3 linked regions of the Macaca fascicularis genome follow. The protein of the gene in region 2 interacts with the protein of the main gene of each other region in a biochemical or structural test. Links are inferred from orthologs where the notes say so. Each region holds a gene or a part of one and is shown on either strand. Other genes may lie near its edges. The genes, in order: PAIP2, UBR5 and PCK1.

The links.
Region 1: the proteins of UBR5 (region 2) and PAIP2 form a complex in vitro, tested with the Homo sapiens proteins (2 studies listed by BioGRID and IntAct, with this or other methods). The link is inferred for Macaca fascicularis from reciprocal best matches to the Homo sapiens genes UBR5 and PAIP2.
Region 3: the proteins of UBR5 (region 2) and PCK1 form a complex in vitro, tested with the Homo sapiens proteins (2 studies listed by BioGRID, with this or other methods). The link is inferred for Macaca fascicularis from reciprocal best matches to the Homo sapiens genes UBR5 and PCK1.

What each region holds. Positions count from the first base shown.
Region 1 is NC_088380.1:145,856,181-145,859,829, reverse strand, and holds part of PAIP2 (polyadenylate-binding protein-interacting protein 2), read right to left. Parts: intron 1,095-3,649; 5' UTR 1,069-1,094; coding exon 931-1,068; intron 289-930; coding exon 109-288; exon of another isoform or gene 1-108. UniProt on the Homo sapiens protein: Acts as a repressor in the regulation of translation initiation of poly(A)-containing mRNAs. Its inhibitory activity on translation is mediated via its action on PABPC1.
Region 2 is NC_088382.1:111,908,984-111,912,632, forward strand, and holds part of UBR5 (E3 ubiquitin-protein ligase UBR5), read right to left. Parts: intron 2,815-3,649; coding exon 2,663-2,814; intron 2,204-2,662; coding exon 2,108-2,203; intron 1,629-2,107; coding exon 1,505-1,628; intron 1,148-1,504; coding exon 1,050-1,147; intron 269-1,049; coding exon 120-268; intron 1-119. UniProt on the Homo sapiens protein: E3 ubiquitin-protein ligase involved in different protein quality control pathways in the cytoplasm and nucleus. Mainly acts as a ubiquitin chain elongator that extends pre-ubiquitinated substrates.
Region 3 is NC_088384.1:113,624,074-113,628,194, forward strand, and holds the start of PCK1 (phosphoenolpyruvate carboxykinase, cytosolic [GTP]), read left to right. Parts: upstream 1-1,303; 5' UTR 1,304-1,396; intron 1,397-1,564; 5' UTR 1,565-1,604; coding exon 1,605-1,828; intron 1,829-2,265; coding exon 2,266-2,447; intron 2,448-2,890; coding exon 2,891-3,094; intron 3,095-3,224; coding exon 3,225-3,412; intron 3,413-4,087; coding exon 4,088-4,121. UniProt on the Homo sapiens protein: Cytosolic phosphoenolpyruvate carboxykinase that catalyzes the reversible decarboxylation and phosphorylation of oxaloacetate (OAA) and acts as the rate-limiting enzyme in gluconeogenesis.

The sequences.
Region 1 (3,649 bases), on a different chromosome or scaffold from region 2:
AATTTCTGAAGGGGAAGAAGATGCAGAATTCTTAAATAGATGGGAACTGGCTTTTCCACTTATGCAAAAGTTGCACTAGGTCTTAAAAGATGAAAAATAAGTTTTTACCACAAGATCTTCCAGAGAAGAGCCATCACTGATAACAAGGTCATTAAACTGGTCTTGGATTTGGTCCATAGTTTGTGGGAGATCTCGAGCTGGAATAAACCATTCATGCTCTTCTTCCTCTTCCAGCATTTCTTGGAAACAGCGTTCAATAAATTCTTCTTCCCATAACTCCTCTTCTATCTAGATTTATAATAAAGATAATTTGTAGCACACTTGGTAGATATCACCAGGAATGGCTTAAAATATCTTGAACTAAACCATTTAAAGGCACAAGGTCACACTTTCTTTTCTGCTTCTGTGCTAAGGAAAAAAATGCTTACCATAATGACCTGCGAAGATCTGTTTAGGGTTTTTCTGTTTTTACTTTTATTAGTAGAACATTCTTTTTTCCATTGAGAGTGGCAGGGAAGAAGTAAAAAGAGATGCCTGTCTCTTTTTTCTGTGCCTGTCTACTCCTGACTCCTAAATTCTCTTGACTTTCACAGCAATCTGACTGGTGTATCTGACAGGCGTAAGGCAGTGGTTTCCAAATCTGATTGCTCACTGGAACCATCTGGGAGCTTTGAAAAAGTTTTCCAGGCTCCACCCTCATCCTCCTGATTCAGAATCTCTAGGGTGGGACCCTGAAACAAGCTCCCCAGGTTATTTCCATAAGCAGTTAAGCCTGGTAGTAATCAGCAGCCAAATAAGTAGGAGTGGTGGCACATCAGTCTACATACTTCATACATAAAGGACAAGATAAACACATTTCACGGACAAGTACAATCATATTGAGGGCCGGAATGGACTATGAAAAAGAACATGTTTGTACAAAAAACTAACTTGTCTGTTGAATTCTTCTTCATTTTCCATCCACATGTACTCTGCAAATGGATTGTCATCTTCATGAGAATGACCGTTAATAATCACATCTTCATTGATGATGCTTGGGCTAGTACTGCTGCGACTTGGATCTTTCATGGCTGATGTTGGTTGTCGTTTTTAACCTTAAAAGAACAACAACACAGTTAATTTACTTACTTATTCAGGGTTTTTTCTTTTTGAGACAAGGTTTCACTCCATCCAGGCTGGAGTGCAGTGGTGTGATCATGGCTCACCACAGCCTTGATCTCTTGCCTCAGCCTCCCAAGTAACTGGGACTACAGGTGTGCACCACCACACCACCCAGCTGAATTTTTTTTATTTTTTGTAGAAACAAGGTCTGTGTTACCCAGGCTGGTCTCGAATTTCTGGGCTCAAGTGATCCTCCCCACCTCAACCTCTCAAAGTGCTGGGATTATATGCATGCGCCACCGGGCCCAGCTGATTCTTTCAGTTCTTAATGAGCATCTGTTTATTAGCAGGCATCATGAATAGGTGTTAGAGGCAGATGATACACGGTAAGTTGCACAATTGGAAAGCTTCATATTTTTTTTCCAAATGATTTTAATGTTTTAATAGGAGAGGATAGCTAAAACATCTAATGTTTTCCTTTTTGTTGTTTTTTTTTTTTTTTGAGATGGAGTTTCACTCTGTCACCAAGGCTGGAATGCACTGGCATGATCTTGGTTCATTGCCACCTCAACTGCCCAGGTTTAAGCAATTCTCCCACCTCAGCCTCCCAAGTAGCTGGGATTACAGGCACGTGCTACCATGCCCAGCTAATTTTTTGTATCTTTAGTAGAGACAGAGTTTCACCATGTTGGCCAGGCTGGTCTTGAACTCCTGACCTCAGATGATCTGCCTGCCTTGGCCTCCCAAAGTGCTGGGATTACAGGTGTGCACCACCGTGCCTGGCCACAGCTAATGTTTTCTGATAACAGTAAATGAAGTACATCAGTTGCTTACATGGGACTCTCCAAACCATCCAATTTATATTTTATATTACATATCACTTGCTTTATAAAGCAAGCATGGTCGGCCGGGCACAGTGGCTCATGTCTATAATTCCGACACTTTGGGAGGCCTGGGCAGGTGAATCATTTAAGGTCAGGAGTTTGAGACCAGCCTAACATGGTGAAACCCTGTCTCTACTAAAAATATAAAACAGCACTTTGGGAGGCCGAGGCGGGTGGATCACCTGAGGTCGGGAGTTCAAGACCAGCTTGACCAACACGGGGAATCCCCGTCTCTACTAAAACTACAAAATTAGCTGGGGTGGTGGTGCATGCCTGTAATCCCAGCTACTCGGGAGGCTGAGGCAGGAGAATCGCTTGAACCTGGGAGGCAGACGTTGTGGTGAGCCGAGATCAAGCCATTGCACTCCAGCCTGGGCAAAAAGAGTGAAACTCCATCTCAAAAAAAAAAAAAAAAAACAACTAAAAATGAAAAAATTAGCTGGGCATGGTGGCACATGCCTATAGTCCCAGCTACTCAGGAGGCTGAGGTGGGAGAATCACTTGAACCCAGGAGGTGGAGGTTGCAGTGAGCCGAGATCGCACCACTGCACTCCAGCCCAGGCAACAGAGTGAAACTCCACCTCGAACAACCACCACCACCACCGCCGCCGCCGCCAAACACAGTCTGGAAGACTGAGGCATCAAGTCATCAAGTGATTAAATGATGAAGAGCAAATTCAATTTTTAAAAACTGACTTCAAAAAGTCCAGGGATTGAAAGTGAAAACAGATTTTTTTTTTGAGACAGAGTCTTGCTCTGTCGCCCAGGCTGGAGTGCAGTGGTGTGATCTTGGCTCACTGCAAGCTCTGCCTCCCAGGTTCACGCCATTCTCCTGCCTCAGCCTCCCGAGTAGCTGGGACTACAGGCGTCTGCCACCAGGCCCGGCTAATTTTTTGTACTGTTTTAGTAGAGACGGGTTTTCACTGTGTTAGCCAGGATGGTCTCGATCTCCTGACCTCGTGATCTGCCCGCCTTGGCCTCCCAAAGTGCTGGGATTACACACGTGAGCCACCATGCCTGGCCTAAAACTAACAGATTTTTAATAACCTCTCAGGTTCTTCAGGTATAGTTCTGATCTCTCCTTCATAGCCCATTCTGTGTCTGCTTTTTCTCTAGGTCCATGTCAAGTTCTGCCATGTCTGGATTTCCTCACTGTACAGTGAGTTTCAGGCATCTAGTATCTTTTTTTTTTTTTTTGAGACAGGGTCTCATTGTGTCACCTAGACTGGAGTGCAGCAACCTCCGCCTCCCAGGCTCAAGCAATTCTCCTGCCTCAGCCTCCAGAGTAGCTGGGATTAGAGGCGTGTGCCATTATCACCCAGCTAACTTTTGTATTTTTGTAGAGACTGGGTTTCACCATGTTGGCCAGGCTAGTCTTGAACTCAAGACCTCAAATGATCCACCTGTCTCGGCCTCCCAAAGTGCTGGGATTACATGCATGAGCCATCGCGCCCAGCCCAGTCCAGTATCTTTTCATCTGAGTATAAGTTGTATCAAATATAAGCCTGATGTCTTATACTACTCAATAGCTGATAACATGATCTAACCTAATTGATACATTGCAGGCTAAATATTTGAAGCACAAGGTTTCACATTCTAAAATATTCCAATTCATTAAGTTTGAAATCGCTAAAAATAGGTTTACATAAAACAATTCACCTGTA
Region 2 (3,649 bases):
CAACTTTCTTCATATCAGACTTAACAATTCCAAAGCTGAAAACTCTAAGTCTAGTGATAGTCATAGGGAAAAAAGACACAAAGATATGATTAATACAGGAAAATGTAAAAATAACTTACCTGGTTAATGTGCTCTGCTCCAGTCCATGTAAAACTGCAAGTGTCATTACAACATAAGACATATAAAGGAGAGTCATCAGGGTTGGTACCTGATGGGCAAACCATTCCCATGAATACATCTTCCTCTTTTTCACTTGAGGATACTTCAGCTAAAAAAGCAAGAACACATCAGTTCATCTTGCAGCAAAGGACTTAATTAGCCATCCAATGTCTTCAAATGGAAGGCCTTAGCATACACACAGTATAAACCAGAAATTATATATCAATTTTAAAAAGTGATATACAAAGATGACATGCAAAGAAATCTAACCAACTCTGGAACAATGTAAAGCATAATTATATCATACCCACATACGACGCCCATAAACACACTATACATCAGCCATCTGAATCCTTAGCTCTGTTTCAGGCGGTTAAGACTCAAGTCCCAGCTCTATTTAGCAAATTATAGACCATCTCATAAACTATCAGTATTTTAAAAAGATAACTATTTTAATCTTTCAAAGGCTGGAAGGTAAGAATTGATATTCCTTAATGCTTTCTATTTAGTAGGAATTCTAAGTCAGAAATAACAAGACATCTGTCTATTATTCTGTAAAGTTATATCACTTAACACCAATTAACTACCAAGAGGTTCTATGAGTAACCCATCTTATTTTCCAAAGATTTTACACTGTTCATTATGGAGTATTTTTAAATCAATAAATTTATATTAGTTGTATTTTGATGGAAAGTTGGAAGATACAGTACACTTCAAGAAAGAATGATAACACATGAATTTCACACACACACACAAATCTTGATCGTTTCCAACCAATTGTATCATTTACATATATGGAAATTCAGTCTGAATAATTATAATATGTGTACAGAAGAGAATCTATCCAAACTGAAAAATATGTAACTCACTTAGGATCTGAAATAAATTACCTTTTGCAATTTTCTGAGCAGTTTCCAAGATGGTAATTGCAGCAGGATAAGCTCGGCCACTTACAGCTGACATAAATGGGGTCATCCCTCTTGCATCCCTAAAATAAGAAAAATTATATGTAAAAATATTAATTACTACTTATTTTCCTTCCTGATAAAATAAATGTTCATGATAAAACAAAAACCTAAATTTTTAGTCTTTCACATACAAATATACAACTCCAACAAGCTAAACATAAAAGCCAGTTTGTATTCATTTAGTGTACACTACATGATATTGAGACGGTCTCTTTCACTCAACAGAGCTTAGTAGTAGAGGGAGTATCATGCTGGATTCTGATCAATTGTTTTAAATTTACACAACTGTTGTCCATATAGTGTCAGAAGATAAACTTTAATAGTAAAAGCTAAGCTAAGCTAAATCTTCATATGAAAAATATATCAAAACCTCTTACTTGGCAGAAAGAAGTTCTCGTAGATAGGGCTGGAGAACCACACTGTCACATAACAATTTTAATATAAAATGAGCATTCGCCTTTCGATCCTTGGATTCTACTACAGATGGCTCTGTGGAAGGACCTGTAATTAAGCAGATCCATTTGGTACAAAACAAGAATGAAGAAGACACAGTAAAAGAATATTCTGGGCTACTCTGCCTATGGGGTACATAAGCACATAGATAATAGGGCACACTGCCTATGGGGTAGCTAGCCCTGCTCTGCAAGGAGCAGTTACAATTTTTTTTTTTAAGAATATCCTGGAATAATATATCAGGCATATAAGCCACCAGAACAGTATTCTAGTATCAGTAATAAATTAACTTCATCACAAAGAATTTAAACCTATGAACATTTTACAAATCTCATCTGATTTCTAAATGTATGTACACAGACACCACATATTTGCACTGACAGATGGAAGGTAATTCAGAGAATTAGATGTTTTTCAAGCAAAGAAAAGTCTCTGTGAAATAAAGTGTAGATCTGTAGAACCCTATATCCAAACTGTGTCCTTTTTTCTTCCAGATGACTAGGCAGACAAAGAGTACAGATTCTTACCTGGAATAGTGGAGGTGCTTGGTCCTTGACCAGTACCGGTCGCTGCTGTGGTAAGAGATCCCACAGCGGGGGCCAGGATAAAATCAATGTCACCATCTTTCAGTAAACAGAACAGTAGGATGTATATCATTATAGGCAACATATTCCTAACATGTTCTCTTAACTGGCCTTAAGGCTTTTCTCTGCAAGCCAAAGGTCAAACAGGATAGAGTTTAAGTGGAAACTTCTTTTCCAAACTATAAGAGAAGGAATCCACTAGGCAAATCTATTGACTTATCTTGATAAATTACTAATAAAGGGATTATTGAGCTTCTTACCGGTACAGAAATAAATATTTCAGTAAAAGTGGAACACCTGACAAGAGTTCTGGAATTTTAATTTTTAAAATATAAATACCTTAAATCTAATTTTTATAGCTAAACTAGTTATAATATTCATCATACTACTTTCAAATCTCTCAAATTTCTACATATCCCTTTAAAATGTTAAAATTATTTCCTTTCATGACCTGCTCTTTTTGTTAAACACTAAATGAAATTAAATAACAGCTCTTACCAGGATCCATCGCAGGAGGGTCAGGAACCCAACTAGGGGGAGCTATGGGGGGTGAAACTGGATCCTGGTGGTCACTGGATGAAGCTCCAGCTTCATGTCTACCCAAACCAGCTGCTCTCAACGAACGTCTCATCATTTCCCGTAATCTCAAACTAAAAGAACATGAACAAAATCAGAGCTCACTACCATATCTACACATAATGAAATGGTGTACAGAACTTCTCATCTGAGAAGATGAAAGTATGTCCTACAAGCAAGCACTCCAGGCAAGGGAAGTGAAGTACAAATGCCAATTCTGGAATCACAGAATAAGTCAGTGAGGGATAGAAATAAAACTGGGGGCTCCTAGTACACCGTTCAGCACTAAAGTCACTATCTTAAGCTCCCACACAAACTTAAGCACAGGGAACGAAAGCTGCGGTGAAGTAAGATTAGAAATAATCTTTCATACAGTTCAGATAAAAGAACAGCTAAACATTAAAACGAAAAGTTTCTATCCCCCATTTATAATCAGTAATAATTAAGTTTAATAGTAGACATCAGCAATCATACTGATTAGCACAAAACCAATACTGTTCAACACTAAATCCCTTTTATAATCTCAAAAGCAACTGAACTAATATCCACGCAATGAGTAGTTTTAAAACAAACACCAATTTAGATTTTTACACACAAAAAAAGAATTTTTAACAGTATAACTTGCATCCCAAAGAAATGAATGAATGAAACTAGAGTTTATAAAATGTGTTGTTAGATTAATGTGTGGGCATGATTTTTTTTCCTCCTGCTATAAAAAAAAAAAATACTGTACAGGTGTACACATCACTAAAAAGAAAAAGAAATAATCACAAACACAGAACTCGTTAGGGGAAGTGGGAACTACCTGTATGAAAATCTATACTTTACCTTTGAATAAAACCTTACAACGGCTACAAAATTAATACATTTAGAACTAACAATGATTTAAGAGAGAGCACAAAAGGCAAA
Region 3 (4,121 bases), on a different chromosome or scaffold from region 2:
GCAGAGCGGCTCTTTCTAAGCCCAGTCCTGGGGTTATCTCCGGGATCATCCCACATCCCAGCGGGAAGATGGGCCAAGTCCCCACCTGACCTCATCTTAGGCAGAGAGGCTCCACGGAAGTGTGGGCTGGCTGTGGGGAGTTGAGGCCTAGCCCTGCTCTTTTGACGTTTCACCCCGTGTTCTCCAAACTCCAGCAAGCAGCTTCCGTAGTTCATTAAATTGGACTGAAAGTCTGATGGCTTGCAAAGCAAATTCTTTAAAACTGTTATAAAGGTTTCATTGCTTAAGCATATAATCTAGCAAAACTGCCATGCCACCTCCACTCCCTAAACTCTAAGACTTGCCAGGGAAGTGAACAGTGTCTAGTGGACTGCAGGAGTAACTGCACTCAGCCCAGAACTCCCTGGAGGACACAGGGAAGGTTCTGGAAAGTTGATGGTACCTCACAGGGAGGGACATGGTGCTCCAGGCCCCAACTTCCTCGTGTTCAGATACTCACTCTGCCACCCACCAGCCAGCTGGGAGTAGCTACACAGTCTCTGCCTCAGTTTCCCTATCTGTATATGGGTTGTTCATAGTCTCCACCTCAGAGGGTAGTAATAATGCCAAGCTCTTAGAACAGTGCTCAGTATGTGTGCATTCTGTGCCTACTCTATGCCAAGCACTATAGATAGAAAAATGAACAAAATAGGGAGAAATCCCTGCCCTCATGGAGTTTACATCTGGGGCGGTTGGGGGCACACAGCAGACAATCAATAGAGTGATTAGCCCCCAGTTAGGTTAGGTATTTCCAATCTTTGCCTATAAGCCACATATTTGCCCAAGTTAGGTTGCATTCTTCCCATGCACTTTGACTGTGAACTTTGACTGTGGGATGACATCTTATAGCTGTGGTGTTTTGCCAACCAGCAGCTCTTGGCACACAAAATGTGCTGCCAGCAGCCCTTGAAGTCCGGTAGGTGACCTGGGCAGCCTTGTCCCCGACCCCACCTGCCTGTTAAGAAAAGAGTGTTGTGTTTTGCATCAGCAGTAAAATGGGTCAAGGTTTAGTCAATTGGAAGTTGTGTCAAAACTCACTACGGTTGGTTGAGGGCCCGAAGTCTCCCAGCATTCATTAACAACTATTGTTCAATGATTATCTCCCTGGGGCGTGTTGCAGTGAGTTGGCTCAAAGCATAACTGACCCTGGCCATGATCCAGAGACCTGCCCCCTGATGTCAGTGGCGAGCCTCCCTGGGTGCAGCCAAGGGGCAGGACTATTCTTTTCCACGGTATTTAAAGCTGAGAGGTTCTGCCACGGAACACGGCCTTCCCACTGGGAACACAAACTCGCCAGCAGGAAGAACCCGGAAAGAAACCTTGGATCTCCCTTCGAGATCGTCCAAAGAGAAGAAAGGTAAGTAGAGCTTTGCATTTACATTTCGAAAAATTACAAAGATGAACTCACTTTTTTCCTGAGAGTAATAACTATTTGGCAATGCACGGTCCCAGCTAAAGGCCGTCGAATGTGTTTGAAGATGTCTGTTATTGTTTTTGTTCAGGACGCTTGCGTTTTCTATTTCAGGTGACCTCACATTCGTGCCCCTTAGCAGCACTCTGCAGAAATGCCTCCTCGACTGCAAAACGGCCTGAACCTCTCGGCCAAAGTCGTCCAGGGAACCCTGGACAGCCTGCCCAAGGCAGTGAGGGAGTTTCTTGAGAACAGTGCTGAGCTGTGTCAGCCTGATCACATCCACATCTGCGACGGCTCCGAGGAGGAGAACGCGCGGCTTCTGGGCCAGATGGAAGAGGAGGGCATCCTCAGGCGGCTGAAGAAGTATGACAACTGGTAAGCTCGGCCCCCACTGCCTGCCCCAGGCCCCTGCAGGCAGGGCTCCCCTGCGTCTCCTGGAAGTTGGTGGAGAAAGGTGAATGAAGGCCTCTCGGGAGTTTCAGACTCTTGAGAAGTTGAATGCAATGGTCAGAACAATACAGATTTGAGTTTTGTGACATTAGTGGGCTAGCCCAAGCTTTAAATGAGGTGGTGTGCACAAAAGCTCTGCCAACTAGATTCTTGATAAAAACGAAAGACAGCCCCTCTCCTACAGACTAGCTCCTAGTTGAGTAAACGCCCACCTGGCCATGTCTTAGATGGTCTGTGTGTTCACACGGATGGACTGTTGTTAGCATGCTCAGTGCTCTGCTAGGCATGGAAAGCCACGGTATTGAAGGAGATGGTTCGCTGCCCATGGTGCTTGGCTGAAAGGAAGCCTGTGATTTTTACAGCTGGTTGGCTCTCACTGACCCCAGGGATGTGGCCAGGATTGAAAGCAAGACAGTTATCGTCACCCAAGAGCAAAGAGACACAGTGCCCATCCCCAAAACAGGCCTCAGCCAGCTCGGTCGCTGGATGTCAGAGGAGGATTTTGAGAAAGCGTTCAATGCCAGGTTCCCAGGGTGCATGAAAGGTGAGCGGAATATTGATTTGATTGGGAAAAATAGCAGAGAACCTTTTCTTATTACATCTATCCTAATGGTAATTCAAAGTGTAATGGAAGCTCCCACCACCTCAGACATCTTTCAGTTCCATACATGAAGTTGGCAACGTATCGAAAATGCACATCCCTCTTCTGCTTTTACAGACTGTCTTATACAAATGTGGAAACTATTTCCATGCATGTGGGTTTTAAATAGGTTGGTGGGACCTGGTTGCACATTTATGAAAACTCTTTAATTTCAGCAGGCTCTTCACTCTCCAGTGGCCTCCCCTAACCTAGGGGGGCTGGTGGCCAGCAGGGTGTGGTGGTGTTAGTGGAAGACTGTGAAAATGGGTCTACCTGGGAAAACAATGCTGGTTGTGTTCAAAATCCAAGGTCATTTCTCACCAGTGCCTACCCATCGCACCCTGTAGGTCGCACCATGTACGTCATCCCATTCAGCATGGGGCCGCTGGGCTCGCCTCTGTCGAAGATCGGCATCGAGCTGACGGATTCGCCCTACGTGGTGGCCAGCATGCGGATCATGACGCGGATGGGCACGCCCGTCCTGGAAGCACTGGGAGATGGGGAGTTTGTCAAATGCCTCCATTCTGTGGGATGCCCTCTGCCTTTACAAAGTAAGTGTATTATTTCAGAATCAAAAGTCAAAATAAAAAAAGAAAGCTGAACAACAAACCCCAGCGGGTGCCTCGGGGACCCCCAAACAGAGCCCTGGCTCACTGACGTGGGAGGGGTCCTTGTTCACAGAGCCTTTGGTCAACAACTGGCCCTGCAACCCGGAGCTGACGCTCATCGCCCACCTGCCTGACCGCAGAGAGATCATCTCCTTTGGCAGTGGGTACGGCGGGAACTCGCTGCTCGGGAAGAAGTGCTTTGCTCTCAGGATAGCCAGTCGGCTGGCCAAGGAGGAAGGGTGGCTGGCAGAGCACATGCTGGTGAGTCTGCAGGAAGCCCTGACGTGCAGATGAGAGGCCCGGGGGGTGGCAGAAACAAACAGCATTACAGTTCCCATCCAGCAAGACCCAGTACACCTTTCCGAGCATGCAGGTTCCCAGACAGATTGGGAAACCCCACCAGTAATGATTAGTGCACACGTATACGTCACTTTTGAAGGGCCCCAAACACCAGGGGACCATCGAGATCCTTTGGACTTCATGATTCTGGGAATGTTTGTTTGCACTGATACCTGAAGAAATAGATCTTGAGGGCCTACATTCCAACCTCTGGGCTGAAGTACCAACCTCGGGGAGAAGGGAACAAAGATCACAATAAAGAATCTTGTCCCCGGTGGGCGCGGTGGCTCACGCCTGTAATCCCAGCACTTTGGGAGGGCGAGACGGGCGGATCACGAGGTCAGGAGATCGAGACCATCCTGGCTAACATGGTGAAACCCCGTCTCTACTAAAAAATACAAAAAAACTAGCTGGGCGAGGTGGCGGGCACCTGTAGTCCCAGCTACTCGGGAGGCTGAAGAAGGAGAATGGCGTGAACCTGGGAGGCGGAGCTTGCAGTGAGCTGAGATCTGGCCACTGCACTCCAGCCTGGGCAACAGAGCCAGACTCTGTCTCAAAAAAAAAAAAAAAAAAAAAAAAGAATCTTGTCCCCAACAGATCCTGGGTATAACTAACCCCGAGGGTGAGAAGA